Linked DNA regions of Pelodiscus sinensis. Each later gene encodes a partner of the first gene's protein in a complex. Links are inferred from orthologs where the notes say so. Each region holds a gene or a part of one and is shown in the gene's direction. Other genes may lie near its edges.

Evidence for each region.
Region 2: NAA50 (region 1) and HYPK share a complex: the UniProt entries of both Homo sapiens proteins name them as parts of the N-terminal acetyltransferase E (NatE)/HYPK complex. The link is inferred for Pelodiscus sinensis from reciprocal best matches to the Homo sapiens genes NAA50 and HYPK.

Annotation. Positions count from the first base shown.
Region 1 is NC_134711.1:141,203,552-141,211,780, forward strand, and holds the start of NAA50 (N-alpha-acetyltransferase 50), read left to right. Parts: upstream 1-4,955; 5' UTR 4,956-5,118; coding exon 5,119-5,126; intron 5,127-8,229. UniProt on the Homo sapiens protein: N-alpha-acetyltransferase that acetylates the N-terminus of proteins that retain their initiating methionine. Has a broad substrate specificity: able to acetylate the initiator methionine of most peptides, except for those with a proline in second position.
Region 2 is NW_027466027.1:113,550-121,340, forward strand, and holds HYPK (huntingtin-interacting protein K), read left to right. Parts: upstream 1-4,591; 5' UTR 4,592-4,683; coding exon 4,684-4,869; intron 4,870-5,185; coding exon 5,186-5,241; intron 5,242-6,013; coding exon 6,014-6,065; intron 6,066-6,338; coding exon 6,339-6,434; 3' UTR 6,435-6,614; downstream 6,615-7,791. Other genes in the region: SERINC4 (serine incorporator 4), read right to left, coding at 2,067-2,093. UniProt on the Homo sapiens protein: Component of several N-terminal acetyltransferase complexes. Inhibits the N-terminal acetylation activity of the N-terminal acetyltransferase NAA10-NAA15 complex (also called the NatA complex).

The DNA of each region.
Region 1 (8,229 bases):
GTGAGCCAGAAATCTAGAGGAGGTGCTCTTACTGGACCATAGAGGGGGAACTCCAATGTGATTACCCTGAAGAAATCAAAGAAGGATTAGACTGGGGTGGGGAACCTAAGGGCCAGATGCGGCCCCCGGCTTGCCTGGATCTGGACTCTGAGGCTCAGGACTCTCCCCACCCTAGCATTGGGGAGCCTGCACTCCAGCCTTCCCTCCACCCCTCTGTGGGGCTGGAGCACACAAAATCTACTAGCTGGGGCCCCCTAGGCTCTCACACGCAAAGGAAATGTGAGAAGCATCTTTCTGTTTTGCAGTCGGGGGCCACGTCAGTGAGGGTTTGTTTTTTCTGTGGGTCAGCAGCCCCCAACCCAAAAAAGGTCTAATCCAGAGGTCTTTTCCCTATCTCTGGATAAGACCTTTAAAAAGATAATACAAAGATGCAATTAAAAAGAGTTTTAGGAAGAACAAACATTTAAACTGCAGAACATTAACCAGGAGTTAAGACTCCTGAGGACAGGATATCCCTTTTTTGTCTATATTGCAGGGTGGTTCGTCTGATGCAGTTGGTACGAGCCACTGTCAGACATGATATTAAACTAAAAGACCATTGCTCTGATACAATGTGTCAGTTCCATATGTTCTACTTAATGAAAAAAAAGCAGAAAAAAGTTTCAGGACAACTGTGTATACTATGAAAAAAATAATGCAGACATAGGCCAATTTCCTTTCCTGAGCAGGTCACTTTTAACTCCAATGCGCACACAGTGACTGATCACCTCTAAGAAAAGAGGATCAAGAAATTTTGGACCCACTGTTCCTCTAAAATACAGTAGGTGTTGACAGCTGCACCACCAGGGCAGACATCTATTCTTATTTCCTCTATCTACTCTACCCCTCAGAAGCAGTCACACTTCTCAAAACACATAGTGAGTAAGGGTGAAACATACAGGCATGACATTCCATCTCAATCCATTCTCTGTTTTTCTTGACACTGTTCCCCTCCAATGGGTCATGTGGACTTGACTATGCAGGAAGAAAAGTCAGTAATATTTTCAAGTCAAAAGAAAATTTAAGTTGTGTCGAAGGGGAAAAAATATTTTTTTGTTCTTCCTCTCTAGCAGGAGCTCATACCCACCATAGTCAAACTTGTTTTAACCGAGGGAAGACAATAGGTGGGATGCTGTATAATCTCTGTGCTACTTTAAAGATGGGACCTTTACCTTTCACTCAGAGATAATTTCTTCGGAGACTTCTGGACTTCACCTGACTTCTTGTATAACAGAGTTTATGTGGTTTTCCTTGTATTATTTCCTGCTTCAAGCCCAGTAGCTGTATTTGAACTACAGCATCTGTTAGAAACACATTTACTTTTGATAAAGAAGTCCAGTGATGGAGAATCCACCATAACCCTTGGTGAATGGTTCCATGGTTAATTACCATGTTAAAAACTGATACCTTGTTTCCCATCTGAATTAGTCTAGCTGCAACTTGGATTTTGTTATATTTCTGTCTGCTATATTCCTGTCTGTATTATCAAAATTCTGTTCCCTTTGTAGGTACATATAAATGTAATCACATTATCTTTGAACGTTCTCTTTGATAAGATAAAAAGATTGAGCTCCTTACATCATCTCACTATACAGAACATTTTCTACTATTTTGAATGTTTCTTGTGGTCTTTTTCTGAACACTCTAAAATTTATCAGCGTCTTTCTTGAATGGTTGACACCAGAACCGGACACTATTCCATCAGCAATTGTACCGGTGCCAAACAAGTAATATACTGTATTTTCCAATTTAGACAGCCAAGGATCAAGTTAGCCCAGACTAGTGTTACCTACCAGTATGACATTCAGCTAATTATGCATCATGATTGATAAAGTTTTTCCCACATAGTCAGATTCCCAAGATAGTCACTGATCCTGTAAGAATGGTCTATTCTCTTTGTTCCTACATTTATTAACTTACATTTGGCTAAATTGAAACACATTATCTTTCCCCAGCTTACTGAGTGATCTCAGTGGCATGTTCTCCATTTACTACTCCCACAATCTTTTGTCAACTGCAAATTTTAATCACTATTCATTTTTTTCCTCCAAAAGAAGTTGTCTAGCGAAGAGCTAAGAACTGATACCTTTGGATACACTTGATGGCTGTGTTTAGACTGGCAAGTTTTTCCCGCAAAAGCAGCTGTTTTTGCGGAAAAACTTGCCAGCTGTCTACACTGGCCACTTGAATTTCTGCAAGAACACTGACTTCCTACTGTCTGAAATCAGTGCTTCTTGCGGAAATACTATGCTGCTCCCATTCAGGCAAAAATCCTTTTGCAGAAAAGGGCCAGTGTAGACAGCTCAGATTTGTTTGGGGCTTTTTTGCACAAATCGCGAAAATGGCGATCGGGGCTTTTTTGCACAAAAGTGCGTCTCAATTGGCACGGATGCTTTTCCACAAAAAGTGCTTTGGCAGAAAAGCGTCCGTGCCAATCTAGACGCTCTTTTCCGCAAATGCTTTTAAACAGAAAACTTTTCCGTTAAAAGCATTTATGGAAAATCATGCCAGTCTAGACGTAGCCGATGAGTCTCAATTTACAGTTACATGCTGAGACCTATCAGGTTTTAATCCATTTCACATGTTGATTTTGTATTATCATTCACTAATCAAGATATCTTGCAGGAACAAGTCAAATGTCTTACGTAAACCTGTTATATCAACACTATGACCTTTATCAATTGTATTGTATTTTCATTATACTTTTTTCAATCAAAAATAATATCAAGTTAGCAAAGGAGCCAGATCTATTTTTGATAAATTCATGCCAACTGCCATTAGTCACCTGCCTTGAATTCTTTGTTAAAGGAGTTCTCTATCAGCCGTTCCATTATTTCATCTAGGATTGCTCTCAGGCCTATCTATGTCTGTGCAGGCAGAGGAACAGGAGGGGAATATTCAATAAAAAATAGAAAGCCTTAGACATGGGCTGTGTCTACATTAGCATCCCTTTTCCAGAAAAGGAGTGCCAATGAGACAAATCGGAATTGCAAATGCCGCGGGGGATTAAAATATCCCCCGCGGCATTTGCATGAACATGGCTGCCGCTTTTTTCCGGTTCGGGGCTTTGCCGGAGAAAAGCGCCAGTCTCGATGGGATCTTTTGGAAAATAAAGCCTTTTCCGGAAGATCCCTTATTCCTGATCCCTTCAGGATGGGATCAGGAAGGGATCAGGAATAAGGGATCTTCCGGAAAAGGCTTTATTTTCCAAAAGATCCCATCGAGACTGGCGCTTTTCTCCGGCAAAGCCCCGAACCGGAAAAAAGCGGCAGCCATGTTCATGCAAATGCCGCGGGGGATATTTTAATCCCCCGCGGCATTTGCAATTCCGACTTGTCTCATTGGCACTCCTTTTTCTGGAAAAGGGTGCCAATGTAGACAAAGCCATGGTGTAAGAGTTCTGGAAGAAGGAAGGGCTTGGCCTACACATAGAGCTCTTCAGGAACAGCTCTGCATGTGGAGATGCTTATTACAGAATGAGATGGTCTAAAGCTTATAAGGCTAAGAAAATTAGAGAGCCACTACTATGGTCATGCCAAGACAGAGTGTAGGAGGGACACTGGATAGGGAGCCATACAGTGACTCCCCCGAAGGAACTGAGTCACCCTGGTAGGGCTGTGAAAGGTTAACCGGTAAGCATCACTTTAAACGGTTATTGCTTACTGGTTCCTGTTAACTGGCAGGGATCTGCTCCAGCCCAGTGGGGTCCACCGCAGGCAGGGGCTACTCCTACCACTGGGCTGGAGTAACCCCCTGTCCATGGCAGGCTCACCCCGCCCCCCTACCACAAGTTACACACTGGCTCCTCAGAGGCAGGGCCAGTTCCCTGGGAGGAGGCTCAAAAGTTGAAGCAGAGCCAGCAAAGGCTGGGGGAGGGAGAAGAGGCTTCACTGCAGGCACTGCAATATAAAGCTTATTTAAACTTTATACTGCACAGTCCAACCACATGTAACTTGAGATTTTCAGCAATTACGTAGTTATCTATTTAACCAACTTTTTACATCCCTAGTTATCAGCTGACCTTCAATGCCAACAGCAACATCTGAACCCTTCAGTTAAGAATGGGGCTCGGACGAGCTAAGCACAAAGCGCTAGAAAGGGAAACGACAACGAGATGCGGATACTTGAGCGCGCCCCTGTCACAGGAGCAGGAGACACACAGGCCATGTGGCGCTAGACTGAAGAGACTCGAGAGGCCTTTCACGTTCGCTCTTCCCCATTCCGGAAATGAAAGGCCGAAACTGCGGGGCCGGGTCCTTCCCGAGGGACCCTCAGTCGTAGAAACCGCGCGGGGTCAGCCTGCGCCGCGGGCCTGTCGCGCTCATTGGCGCTACTTGCGCCCCCCCCCCCCCATGGATCCGCTGCCGCCTCCAGCCCCACGTTCTGCCTGGCGGCGCTTCGGCTTCCCAGGCTCGGCCCCCCCCGCAGCCGTCGCTGCGCGGCCCCTTCGCCCCACAACCCCGCTACCGGCCCGGCAGCCCCCGCGCCACCCGCCCGGCTCGAGGCTTCCCGCCTCTGCTGGGGGGTGGGGAGGGGGGGGGGCCTCACCTGGGCGGGCGGGGGCAGCTGAACCACTTCGCTCCGCCGCTTCTCTTCAATAGCAGGCGACAGCGATCAGCTGATCAGTCGCTCCCAGGGCGCATGCGCCGCGTCACGAGTGTTATCCCTCCTCCCCCGGAAATGAGGGGCTCGGGAGCCCGGCTAGCTTTGAATGCTTTTTTTTTTTTTTTGGAATGACGGGTCATAGATGCGGAGGCAGGCGATTGGCCTCCCTCGGCCCACGTGACAGGCTAAGGCTCTTCCCGCGGAGCGACTCGGGAAGAGGTCACGTGGGCGGTGCCGCGCAGCGCTGGTCCAGTCACGCCGCCGCCAGGCGCCGAGGGGGGGGGGAGGAGGACGTGAGGTGAGGGGGGGTCACGTCGGCGGGCGGGGCGGAGCGCGGCGCGCGGGCGGCCCGAGGCCCATGTGCAGGGGGAGCTGCCGCAGCACGAACCGCCAGCGCCGAGGAGGAGGAGGCCGGAGCCGCATCGCCGGCCCCGCACGCACCGAGCGCGGATCCCGGCCCCGCCAGGCCGCACCATGAAGGGGTGAGTGCGGCTCCCGCCCGGCCTCGCTGTGACAGCGGCCTCCCCGGCCGGCGCGCCTCGGCCCGCTGTGCCCTGCCGCGGAGCCCGGCCCGGGCCCGGAGTGTGCGCGAGCGAGCGAGCGGCCCGGGCAGTGGTGGCGCGATTCTCCCGCGCAGCTGCGCAAACGCCGAGACGTTAATCCCAGTGCAACCGCCCTCACGCGCCGGGACCTGCCACTCTCCGCCCAGCGCCCGCGTGGGGCGCCCCACGCAGCCGCCTCCCCTTCTCCCGCCGCTCCGAGCCCGGCCCGCGGGCTGCTGAATTGTGGCTTGTCCTGGGGAGAGCGCGTGTGTGCAGCCGGCCGGAGGAGATGAAGCTGTTGGTTTTCAGCTGGGGTGTAGCGTTACACTGTGTGTGTCTGCGAAACGCTGACCCTGAACTGCAGGAAGCTCGGCACCTTGCTCTTGGAAGGAACCTCCTCTTCTCCCCTCCCCCCCCCCATGCCAAAAACAACTCTTCTGGTCCTTGTCTCACTTTATCTGCTTTATTGCAGAAATAGTAGGTGGAAAGAGCTGGTTCATTCCACTCTGCTTTTGAGAAATGTAGCTTATCGTCTTGTGTAGAGGTCTTTTCTGTGAAACTATCTTGAAAAAATCGTATGCAAGTGAATTAACTTTAGCATTCAATTTCTTTAGCCCCTATTCATAATAATAATAATGATGATGAAGATAGAAGCAGGGTCATCAAATTGGTATCTGGGAAGTCACTCAGAGAAGTCCCCAATGGAACAACAATGGAAATAATATTTTGTCTTAAAATGCTGCCTGGCCTTGACCAGCTTTGTGTGACTGCTTTGTAGGGAAGATTGAAAAGATGGTGTAATTTCCACGAGTATTTGCTTTTGATGTAGCCTTTAAAATTTATTTAGAACTTGTTGTGATTGCAGGATGTGGATGGAACAAAAAGCTAGTCTTCGCACCTAACAATGATTTTGCAGTGTTATCTGTTTAGGACCTCCCTTTCTGGTTCTCTTATGAAAATGTGGCATAGAGGTTTTAAATGTAGTAAATGAAATACTGGTTCTACTGCTATACAGAGGTAACATGGTCTAGCTTTCTGAACACAGGGCTGGAAGTCATGAGACCTGGATTTGGTTCCCAGCTCTGTTGACCTCTTATGTGACTTTGTGCAAGTCATCTCACCTCTGTGTGTTAGTTTCTCCCCCATGAAATAAGAGGGCTCCAGAAGTGGTGTTGCAAATCATTACTGTTTGGAAAGTGTTATGTAAGTGACAGATATTACTATTCCAGTTTGGCTGCTTAAGGCAGGGTAAAATGGTAGTTGAAGTACTTAGAGTTTTTAGCCCTTTACCATTTGTTATTAACTTTTTGGGGTAAGGTCACATACACCAAGTTTTTATCAAGCAACCTAGGTATCTTATTTCTCATGTCTAGTTTCAGACACCTTAAATGGTTTTTGGGACTGAGAGAGTAAAGCTGAGAGATTGAAAAAACAGGTCCCGAAACTTAACACACTTCAGGTACAAATGTGCAATTATTTTATGGAAATATGTATGAATAAAATATTGCCCAATAGAAATGATGGATTCCTGGCCCTATAGAAATGACAGATTCCTATTTCTTTTCCCATGTTCTTGGGAGCTAGTCAAAGTTGCTTTATTTGGCATAGGCAAGTATGTGGGAAGGGCGATAAGCTTGATCAGCAAAGGTGAGCCCACAGTTGGCAAAATCATTGTCAGCTACTTTGTTGGTGGAACTAGAATTTTGTCTCTTCTCTCTCTCTCACAGATTTGTATAGCTTGGCTTTTCTCTGATTCTTTTCTTTTCTCTGTTGATTGTGAATCAGGCAGAGCTGTTGTTTGGGCTTGGATATTTTATATGTATGTCTGTGTGCATCCGGGCAGAGCACACTGGGATCTCTTGGCAGGATATAGTTATAAGCAGTACTCCATGAGTGTGCCATGCTGCACCATCTCTCTACTGGAGCTTTGCCATTTTCTCTGTACTCTTGCTTTTTCAGTGGTTTCTGAGTTTGGGGATTCTGTTACAAGTAGAACATCCCACTACTGCTCCCTCATAGAGATTTAATAGTGAATTTTATGTCAATCCTACTCCCGTTTAGAGTACAGGCAGTCCCCGGGTTACATACAAGATAGGGACTGTAGGTTTGTTCTTAAGTTGAATCTGTATGTAAGTCGGAACTGGCATCCAGATTCAGCCGCTGCTGAAACTGATCAGTTTCAACAGCGGCTGAATCTGGACGCCAGTTCCAACTTACATACAGATTCAACTTAAGAACCCCAGGCGTCCCCAAGTCAGCTGCTGCTGAAACTGATCAGCAGCTGATTCCAGGAAGCCCGGGGCAGAGCAACTCTGCCTCGGGCTTCCTGTAGTCAGCCGCTGGTCAGTTTCAGCAGCGGCTAACTTGGGGATGCCTGGGGCAGAGCAGCACCCCATCTGCTCTGCCCCAGGCGTCCTGATTCAGCCGCTGCTGAAGCTGATCAGCAGCGGCTGAATCAGGACTCCTGGGGCAGAGCAGCTGGGGTGCTGCCGGGTTGGTCCAGTAGCGCCAAGGAGCGGTGCTGCGGGACCAACCGGCAGCGCCCCACCTGCTCTACCACAGGCACCGGGCTTTGCTCCACGTCTCCCTGGTCTGCTGGGGGGGGGGGGCACTAGCTGTGTCCCCCCCCAGCAGACCAGGGAGACGCGGAGCAAAGCGGCGGAGGACCCAGGCCGGACTGTGGCGCTTCCAGATCTGCAGACCAGGGAGACGCTGAGCAAAGCGGCGGAAGACCTGGGCCGGACCTGCGGCGCTTGCAGATCAGCGCCGCGGGTCCGGCCCGGGTCCTCCACTGCTTTGCTCCCCGTCTCCCTGGTCTGCTGGCTCCCCCAGCAGACCAGGGAGACGGGGAGCAGCTTTTCTCGCTCTGGAGGAGGTGGGCAGCGGGACCAGGCGTCCCGCCGCTCCAGTCCTCCGGGGCGAGAAAATCCCCGTTCGTAACTGCGGATCCGACATAAGTCAGATCCGCGTAACTCGGGGACTGACTGTACTGTGAATGACTTCTTCCTAGTGTTCGGTGATCCTTTAAATCTAAGGAGGAGGC
Region 2 (7,791 bases), on another chromosome or scaffold:
GGTAGGAGTAGGAAGGGGGCGTCTGGTTCGAAACTGAAATGTGCTAACGGGGCAGCAATGACTCTTTAGAAACTTAATGGCTCGGTACTCAAGCCAACCAGCCAGGAATCATTTTATTTGTCCTGTGAGCCCAAATGTGCTTGGCCCTAGAAATAACGTGCCCAGGCACCTGGTACTGGACTCCATCCCCAACCTGGCATTTCTCCCTGGCGCTGGAGAGACTGAACAAAGGGTTCCCACCCCAGAGGAAGTCTTTTTAAGGAATGGAAAACAGTCAGGTCTGTATCTTCATCCGGCCTTGGGAACTGCCTGGCCCACCAGAAGAGGGGACACAGGAAGAAACCTGAAAATGAAAGACTCTAAAGGACTCTCGCTGACAAGCCGTAGACCCAGGCCAGAGGGAAGAGCAGCTCTACCATGCCGCTGGTACGGGGGTAAGAACAGCTGCTTAGGGCAGGAATTCGCAGGTAGCAGGTTTCTTAGTGGATTAGAAGCAGCTAAGTGGTTTTAGAGAGGTAGCCCTGTTAGTGATCTTGGCAAAACAGGGAGGGTGTGGTGCGGGTGTGGCGGGGAGGGTGTGGGTAGTAAAACAAAAAAACCGCCATGTAGCACTTTATAGGCTGACAAGATGGTTTATTAGGTGATGAGCTTTCGTGGGGCAGACCCATGAAAATTCCCCATATTTCGTAGGGAATATGATCTGAGGAAGTGGGTCTGCCCCATGAAAGCTCATCACCTAATAAACCATCTTGTCAGCCTATAAAGTGCTACATGGCGGTTTTTTTGTTTTACTACCCACACCCTCCCCGCCACACCCACACCCTCCCTGCCAAACCTGTGCCACACCCATGCCCTCCCTGCCACACCCACACCCTCCCTGCCACACCTGTGCCCTCCCTGCCACACCTGCTTCGCACCCTCCCTGCCATACCTGCTCCCTCCCTGCCACACCCACACCACAGCCGCCCCTTCCCCGCCACACCTGTGTCGACTCCGTGACACCGGTGCCCTCCCCTCTGCACCCACACCCATACCCTCTGTACCACACCTTCCCCATCACACCTGCACACCCTCCCCACCACACTGGTGCCACACTACGCCCTCCCCGCTGCGCTGTCCCTGCCACACCCGCCCCGTTACAAGCTTCTGAAACCTGGCACACGTTAGCAGTCCCCTCAGGAAGCAGGGCGTAAAATCCGCTTTAGTGAGCAAACTGGTTCCATGTTACGTTTAACCAGCTAACTGATTAAAGGGCGGCAGGTGGCTGGAGCGCCCCCCCCACCACGAATTGCTGGGGGAGCCCCTGCTCCAGCCCCACGTTATCTGGCTCCGTGGAGGGGAGGCTTGCCAGTGACATGCTTAAGCAGGCACAGCCCCGCGGGAACGGACGCCCCCCCTGCCCCGGCGCGCCTGCAGCGGGAGGAAGCAGGACGGTGCTTGTGGGGTGCAGCCGCAGAGGCAGTGGCTGGGGGGACGGCTGTCCAGCACACGTCCCTAGCTAGGCCTTGCCTGGGCCCCGCTTGGGCGGAGGGACAAGGCGGGGCCAGGAGCCGGACAGAGAAACCACCCAGACACGTGCGGCTGGCAGGCCAGGGAACTTCAGTGGAGGGAGCCACCGAGCATCAGAGAGCAGGAGGGGGAACGAGTGTGTCCAATCTGTCGTGACCAGAGGGGGGCTCTTCCCACGGGCAGCCGGGGCCGGTCCAGTGTCCGGCAGGCACCAGGAGCCTGCCACCCTGGCTACTGAGAGCATCCCCACGGCAGACACTGCCCCGTAGCCCTGAGCCCCACAGCCAGGCCAGCTCGGGAGCGGAGCAGGGGGCCCGGGCCAGCCCTGGGATGGGACAAACTCGGCTGCCCTGGGGCCAGCACGGAGACCTGAGGTTTGAGCAGACCAGGAGGCTTTGCCCTGCTCAGTGGTGCCTCTCCCATGGCATCCAGGCCAGCTCCCGGCTGTTGCAGCCGCTGCCCCGCGCCCCGGCGGCGATCCGGGGCTCAGGGACGAGACCTGGAGCTGCCACAGGGCGATCGCAGTGGCTCCCGCGAGAGGCCTCGCTCTGGCTCACCTGTGCCTTCCAGCAGCTGGCCACCATCCCGCTGCAGGCCTGACGTCTCTGGCTCCCCCGTGGCGATGCCGGATGTGCTGCACCAGCCTCCTGGTCATCAGACGGGGGATGCCGGGGCCTGAGGGTTCTGCCAGCCCCTCCCTGGAGATGCCCCCACAGCTCCCTGCTCCTGAAAAGCTATCTCAAGTGGAAGCCAATTAGGCAGAGGGCTCTGATTGGCTGAATCTTGGTACTAGACCCACCCCCATGCATGATCTCCGGGCGACTCTTGTCTTTCATCGAGTGATTACACTGGGCACTAAATCAGTCCCCTTAACCCTCTTACCCCGCAGACGCAGGGATTAGCGATCCCTGGAGAGAAGCTGGGCACACGCCAGGCAGGCAGCGCGATGGCGGAAGCACCTCCAGAGCCCGCAGTGAGAGCAGAGCCTCCTCTGGCCGCCGTGTCTGTGCCTGGCCGAGCCCCTGGGACCAGGAGACAGACACAGCCCAGCCACCAGCTGGCGAGGCGGGTCCCGCCTAGCACTCGACCGATGGCTCTCTGAGCCCAGGGCCAGCAGCTGCTAAGAGTCGTCTTCACCGTGCCCGCTCCCCACTCCCCACTCCCTGTGCCTGCGGCGCCCGGCCCACACGGCCAAGGCCTGCTCGGGTCCCGGCCGCGTCAGAGGGGCGAACCTGCTTGGCATGGAAGGACACTATGGAGCGTCTCTCAGGAGTCACCGGGCTCTGGGCACGGTGCGGCTGCCCCATTGCAGACAGGCGCTAGCAGGAGAGGGGAACTTGCCCTCTGAACACAGGCCGAGGAGACTGGGCGGGCTCTAGGGAGGGGAGGCCGACAGGAAGGGCGATAAGAGTCTAAAGTGGGGGAGGCTCTCGTAACACAGCAAGGAAGGGGCCCGACGACACCGAGAGGTGGGCAGACTTCACCCGAGCCAGGAACTCCTGGCCACAGGGAATCAGCGTGGCCTGGGCCTCTCTGTGGCCAGCCAGGATATTCAGTGGCCTGGTGCAAGTGAACTCGGGCGGGGCGGGGCATGTGCTGCTCTGGGGCTTAGGCCGGTCTCCGCCATTAGGGATCCGACTGGGCCTGTGCATGGGCCGACTCTGCAGCTGCCGCCTGCAATCTGTGGCTGGGTGCTACATGGTGGCGGCGCGGGGCAGCCACAAGGGTGCTGTGCGCAAGAAAGCCCCTCCCACCAGCCCGAGCTCTGGAAGGGCAAAGAATCGCAGCAGACAGGAGGGTTCTCATCTCTAAGAAGCAGAAACAGAGACCCCCCGGCCCTAAAGGAAGTCCAGTGCGGACAGATTCTACAGCTGTTACCTCTTGGAATTAGAGACTGCACCCTTGGGTGTGTGCGTGGCCTACCTGAGCCTGTAAACAGCACGTTTCATTTCATAGTTCATAACTCCTTCCCTAGCAGAGCGCAGGGCCGGCTACCCGCGCTGCCTTTGCTGCGAGATCTGAGCACAGTGACCTGGGAGAGGAGGTGGGACTCTTGGGATTGGGAACTACCTGAATACTTGGGGATTGGGGGAACTGACCGTTCAGAACACAGGCGGGCTGCTGTGCCCAGGGGACTCTCTGGTAAGACTCTGTAGGGTGAACATTTCTGAGGCAGGCTGATATTCTGTTAAGAGCCCAATCTAAATTCAGACTCTGGGAATGGCACATGAACACAGTACATGGTTATTCCCCTTCCCCACCAGTCCAGCCCATCAACGGAAAGCCATCCCCCAGGATGGGAGGCAGGACAAGACACATTCAATGGTGCTAATGTCTCTGCTTTAATCCCCAGATGGACCGCATCCCGCAGAGATCCCTTCTTGGAGCTGACAGACATAGCACCACTTCACTGATAACTGATGTCCAGACTAACAGGCTACATCTCTATTGCTTTGTTTAAATACTTCTTGTACTGGAAACACGAGATAACTTTCTATTACTGTTCTTATCTTGCCTTACTGTTAGCATCTATCTGGGGGGGTCTGGGATCCCCCCCCCCCCCGGCACCACTTTGATCTGCCTATTGAGCATCCTATATAACTAGCTGTGACCTATTGTTCAGCAGTGTGCACTGAGCCCTGGCTCTGAATAGTCCTGGAGCCTGGACACCATATAACTCGCTGCCCATGCACCGAGGTACTCGGAGTGCCAGAACTGCACTAGAGCAAGCACTCTGGGAGGGAAGCCCTCCCCCGCACCCGCCTCCCCCCCTCCCTCGCCTCCCCTCCCCCCCCGCCTCCCCTCCCAGAGCCCTTCCCCCTCCCCCCCTCCCCCCCGCCTCCCCTCCCAGAGCCCTTCCCCCTCCCCCCCCGCACCCGCCTCCCCCCCTCCCTCGCCTCCCCTCCCAGAGCCCTTCCCCCTCCCCCCCCGCCTCCCCTCCCAGGACCCCGCCCCGCCCCCTCTCCAAGAGGCTGAGGCGGGGGGAGGAGGGGCCGCCGCGCTCACGACACTTGCCCGCGGGGTTTGTGCCGGGCCTACAAAAAGGGGGCGGGGCGGGGGGCGGGGCCGGCGATTCCCCTCCCGGACGCTCTGGGCTCACAGGCGCGTCTCGCTGGTTCCGGCGCCGCGCGCGGCCAGGTCCCGTGACCGGAAGCGGAAGCGGGGCCGGGCGCGATGGCGGCGGAGGGCGACGTGGAGCTGGAGCTGGAGACGGAGCCGAACGGGGCCGGGGGCGGCGCGGAGGGCGCGGGGGGGCGCGCGGCCGAGAAGCCCCGGAAGCACGACAGCGGCGCGGCCGACCTGGAGCGCGTCACCGACTACGCGGAGGAGAAGGAGATTCAGAGCTCCAACCTGGAGACGGTGCGGGGCGGGGCCGGGGACAGGGGGCGGGGCCTGGACAAGGGGCGGGGCCGGAACAGGGGGCGGGGCTTGGACAGGGGCGGGGCCGGAACAGGGGCGGGGCTTGGACAGGGGCGGAACAGGGGGCGAGGCCGGAACAAGGGGCGGGGCTTGGACAGGGGCGGGGCCGAGCGGGGGGCGGGGCTTGGACAGGGGCGGGGCCGGCACGGGCGGGGGCCCTGCGGGATGTTCTGGGCTCCTCCATCAAGGGTCCAGCTGTGCCTGGCTGTGCCTTCCTGAGCCGTGGCTCCCCCCCCCTTTCCCTCTTCTCCCCCAGGCCATGTCCGTGATTGGAGACCGCCGATCCCGAGAGCAGAAGGCAAGGCAAGAGAGGTAACCGCTCCCTGCACCTCTCCTGTAGAACTTAGAGAATCCTAGAACCACAGAGCTGCAGGAGACCTCAGAAGGTCAAGTCCAGCCCCCTGCTCTAGGCAGGACCAATCCCACCTAAATCAACCCGGCCAGGGCTTTGTCAAGCCGAGACTTAAACACCTCTAGGGTTGGAGACTCCACTATGTCCCTAGGGAACCCATTCCAGTGCTTCACCACCCTCTTAGGGAAATAGTTTTTCCTAATATCCAACCTGGACCTCTCCCACCTCAACTTGAGCCCATTGCTCCTTGTTCTACCATCCGTCACTACTGAGAACAGCCTCTCTCCATCCTCTTTGGAACCTCCCTTCAGGAAGTTGCAGGCTGCTATCCAATCCCCCCTCACTCTTTGCTTCTGCAGACTAAACAGACCCAAGTCCCTCAGCCTCGCCTCATAGGTCATGTGATCCAGCTCCCTAATCATTTTGGTTGCCCTCTCCAATGTGTCCACATCCTTTTTGTAATGGGTCAGCAGCCCACACCCCTGTCCTAAGCCATTTGGTCCGGTACTATGTGGCTTGGTTCTGCACATGCAGAATCTTCCTCTAAAGGCTCTGGGTAGTTTTTCTAGTTAAACTTTCTGCTTATCCATGGCCAGTCTCAATAACAGTGGCTTTGTCTCAGCAAAGAGCTACTGCAAGTGCTCTGGTTGTATTTGACAGTTGTGACTGAGCTGCTCTGCAAAGGGGAGTCTGTAAGATTGGTACTTTATCTTCTGATTCCTTTTGTCACAGGGAAAAAGAACTGGCAAAGGTTACAATCAAGAAGGAAGATTTGGAGCTGATTGTGAGTATGGCAGGAAGTGGTGCCAAGAGCGAGGCTGGGGCAGGCCAAGCCCAGATCTCAGTCAAGTTATTTACTCAGTCTCGGGGGCTCAGAATACGTGCACTGCAGCCGGAGGACAAAGGGCTGTAAAAAGTCACTTGTGTTCCTGGCGCACTGCAGTGCAGCAGAGACAGCAAATGTGTACGCTTGGTGCCAGCTTCAGTGATGCTGCAGCAGCAAGCCTTGAGCGAGGCCTGTGGTGCAGCATCTCTTCCCTTGGCTCCCTCCCTGCAGATGAACGAGATGGAGATCTCGCGGGCAGCAGCAGAGCGCAGTCTGCGGGAGCATATGGGGAACGTGGTGGAGGCTCTGATCACCCTCACCAACTAAGCACATTCCTACGGGACTGCTTGGTGCTTTGGGGAGAGAACGAGGAAAACTCTTGCTGGGACTTCAAAGTCTTTGTGCTGCCAGCCCTGTCCTGAGCACAGCCTTCGTGATAGTGGTGGGACAGCCAGATTGGTCAATGCTATGTGTTAACTTATTGAAATAAAGAGCGCGCTAATCTTCTGTGGGCAGAGTGTATAAAACAAGGCTCAACAGGCGCTGAGCTCCGTGCAAGAGCATGCAACAACTCCACCAGTTGTAGCAAGCTTGGGTCAGTCCACGGTGCACTGGTGTGCGAGCTATGGGCACTGTGTCACGAGACAAACCCCTTCAGAAGACAATGGCTGAGCTTTCAGAAAGGGAGAGCAGAGGTATCTCTTCCCACCCCTGCTGAATGGTTCTTGAGAAACTTTGTTCCCTTCCTCCCTTCCAGCGCTCTGTCTTGCTCCCAGGCTTAGGTTGAGCTAGCTTGCTAGCGCTTAAGCTGAGCCCCACTGTCTTCAGTCTCACATGGTATTGGCAGATCTTAATCCACAGGGGTGCTCTGTATATTTACACTGTGCTATGTCCTGAGTTAGCGGAAGGGGAGGTTCTGCCTTCTGCTGAGTTCCCTACTAGTGCTTCAAGGCCTCAGCAGCCCAGAGCCGCCTGCTTCGTCAGGCCCCGGGGGAGCGGCTGGTTTCAAAACAAGGTGGCAGGGTGCTTAAAGGCATCGTAGAATGGAAGGGTCAGAGGGAACACAAGCTTTAGCTTGTGCCCTGGGAGGGAGCCGGGTGTTCACCTTGGCTCCCACGAGGGACAGGGGCCTTTCGAGTGGCAGTCTAGTGAGCTCTTCTCTGGCAGCTGCTAGAGGGGCAGAGCTACCCCAGTGCCAGGATGGGGTATGAGCCCACAGGCCGCCCACGGGCGAGCAGACACCACGCAGGGTACTCAGGTGGGGGAGGCAGGCCAGACGGAAGTGCTGTTACATTGAGTGCTTCTTCCTCAAAGCCAGAATTCCATCCACCTCCAGCACCAGGCTGCATTCAGTTACCCAAGCCCCCAGCAGACACAAGGGAGAGGGCCTTGGTTCAGCTCCCCCCACCCCTCCCAAGCCACAGCACAGCCACTCTTGTGAGAAAACAACTTTTAATTCAAACTCACCTTGTGCCTCGGGGGCCTGGCAGAGCCCCAGCCCCCAGTGCCTGGGGATGGGAGCGTCGAGCCACAGTGGGCTAGGCAAAAGGGGCTGCAAAGCCCCTCGGGCAGGGCACAGTAGACTCTCAGCTGTTCCAGAGAACCAAAAGGGGCGGGGCTCCCTTCCCCACAGGAGATGTTCTGGAGCACCAGGTACCTACAGCCTGCTAAGTCCAAGGGAAGG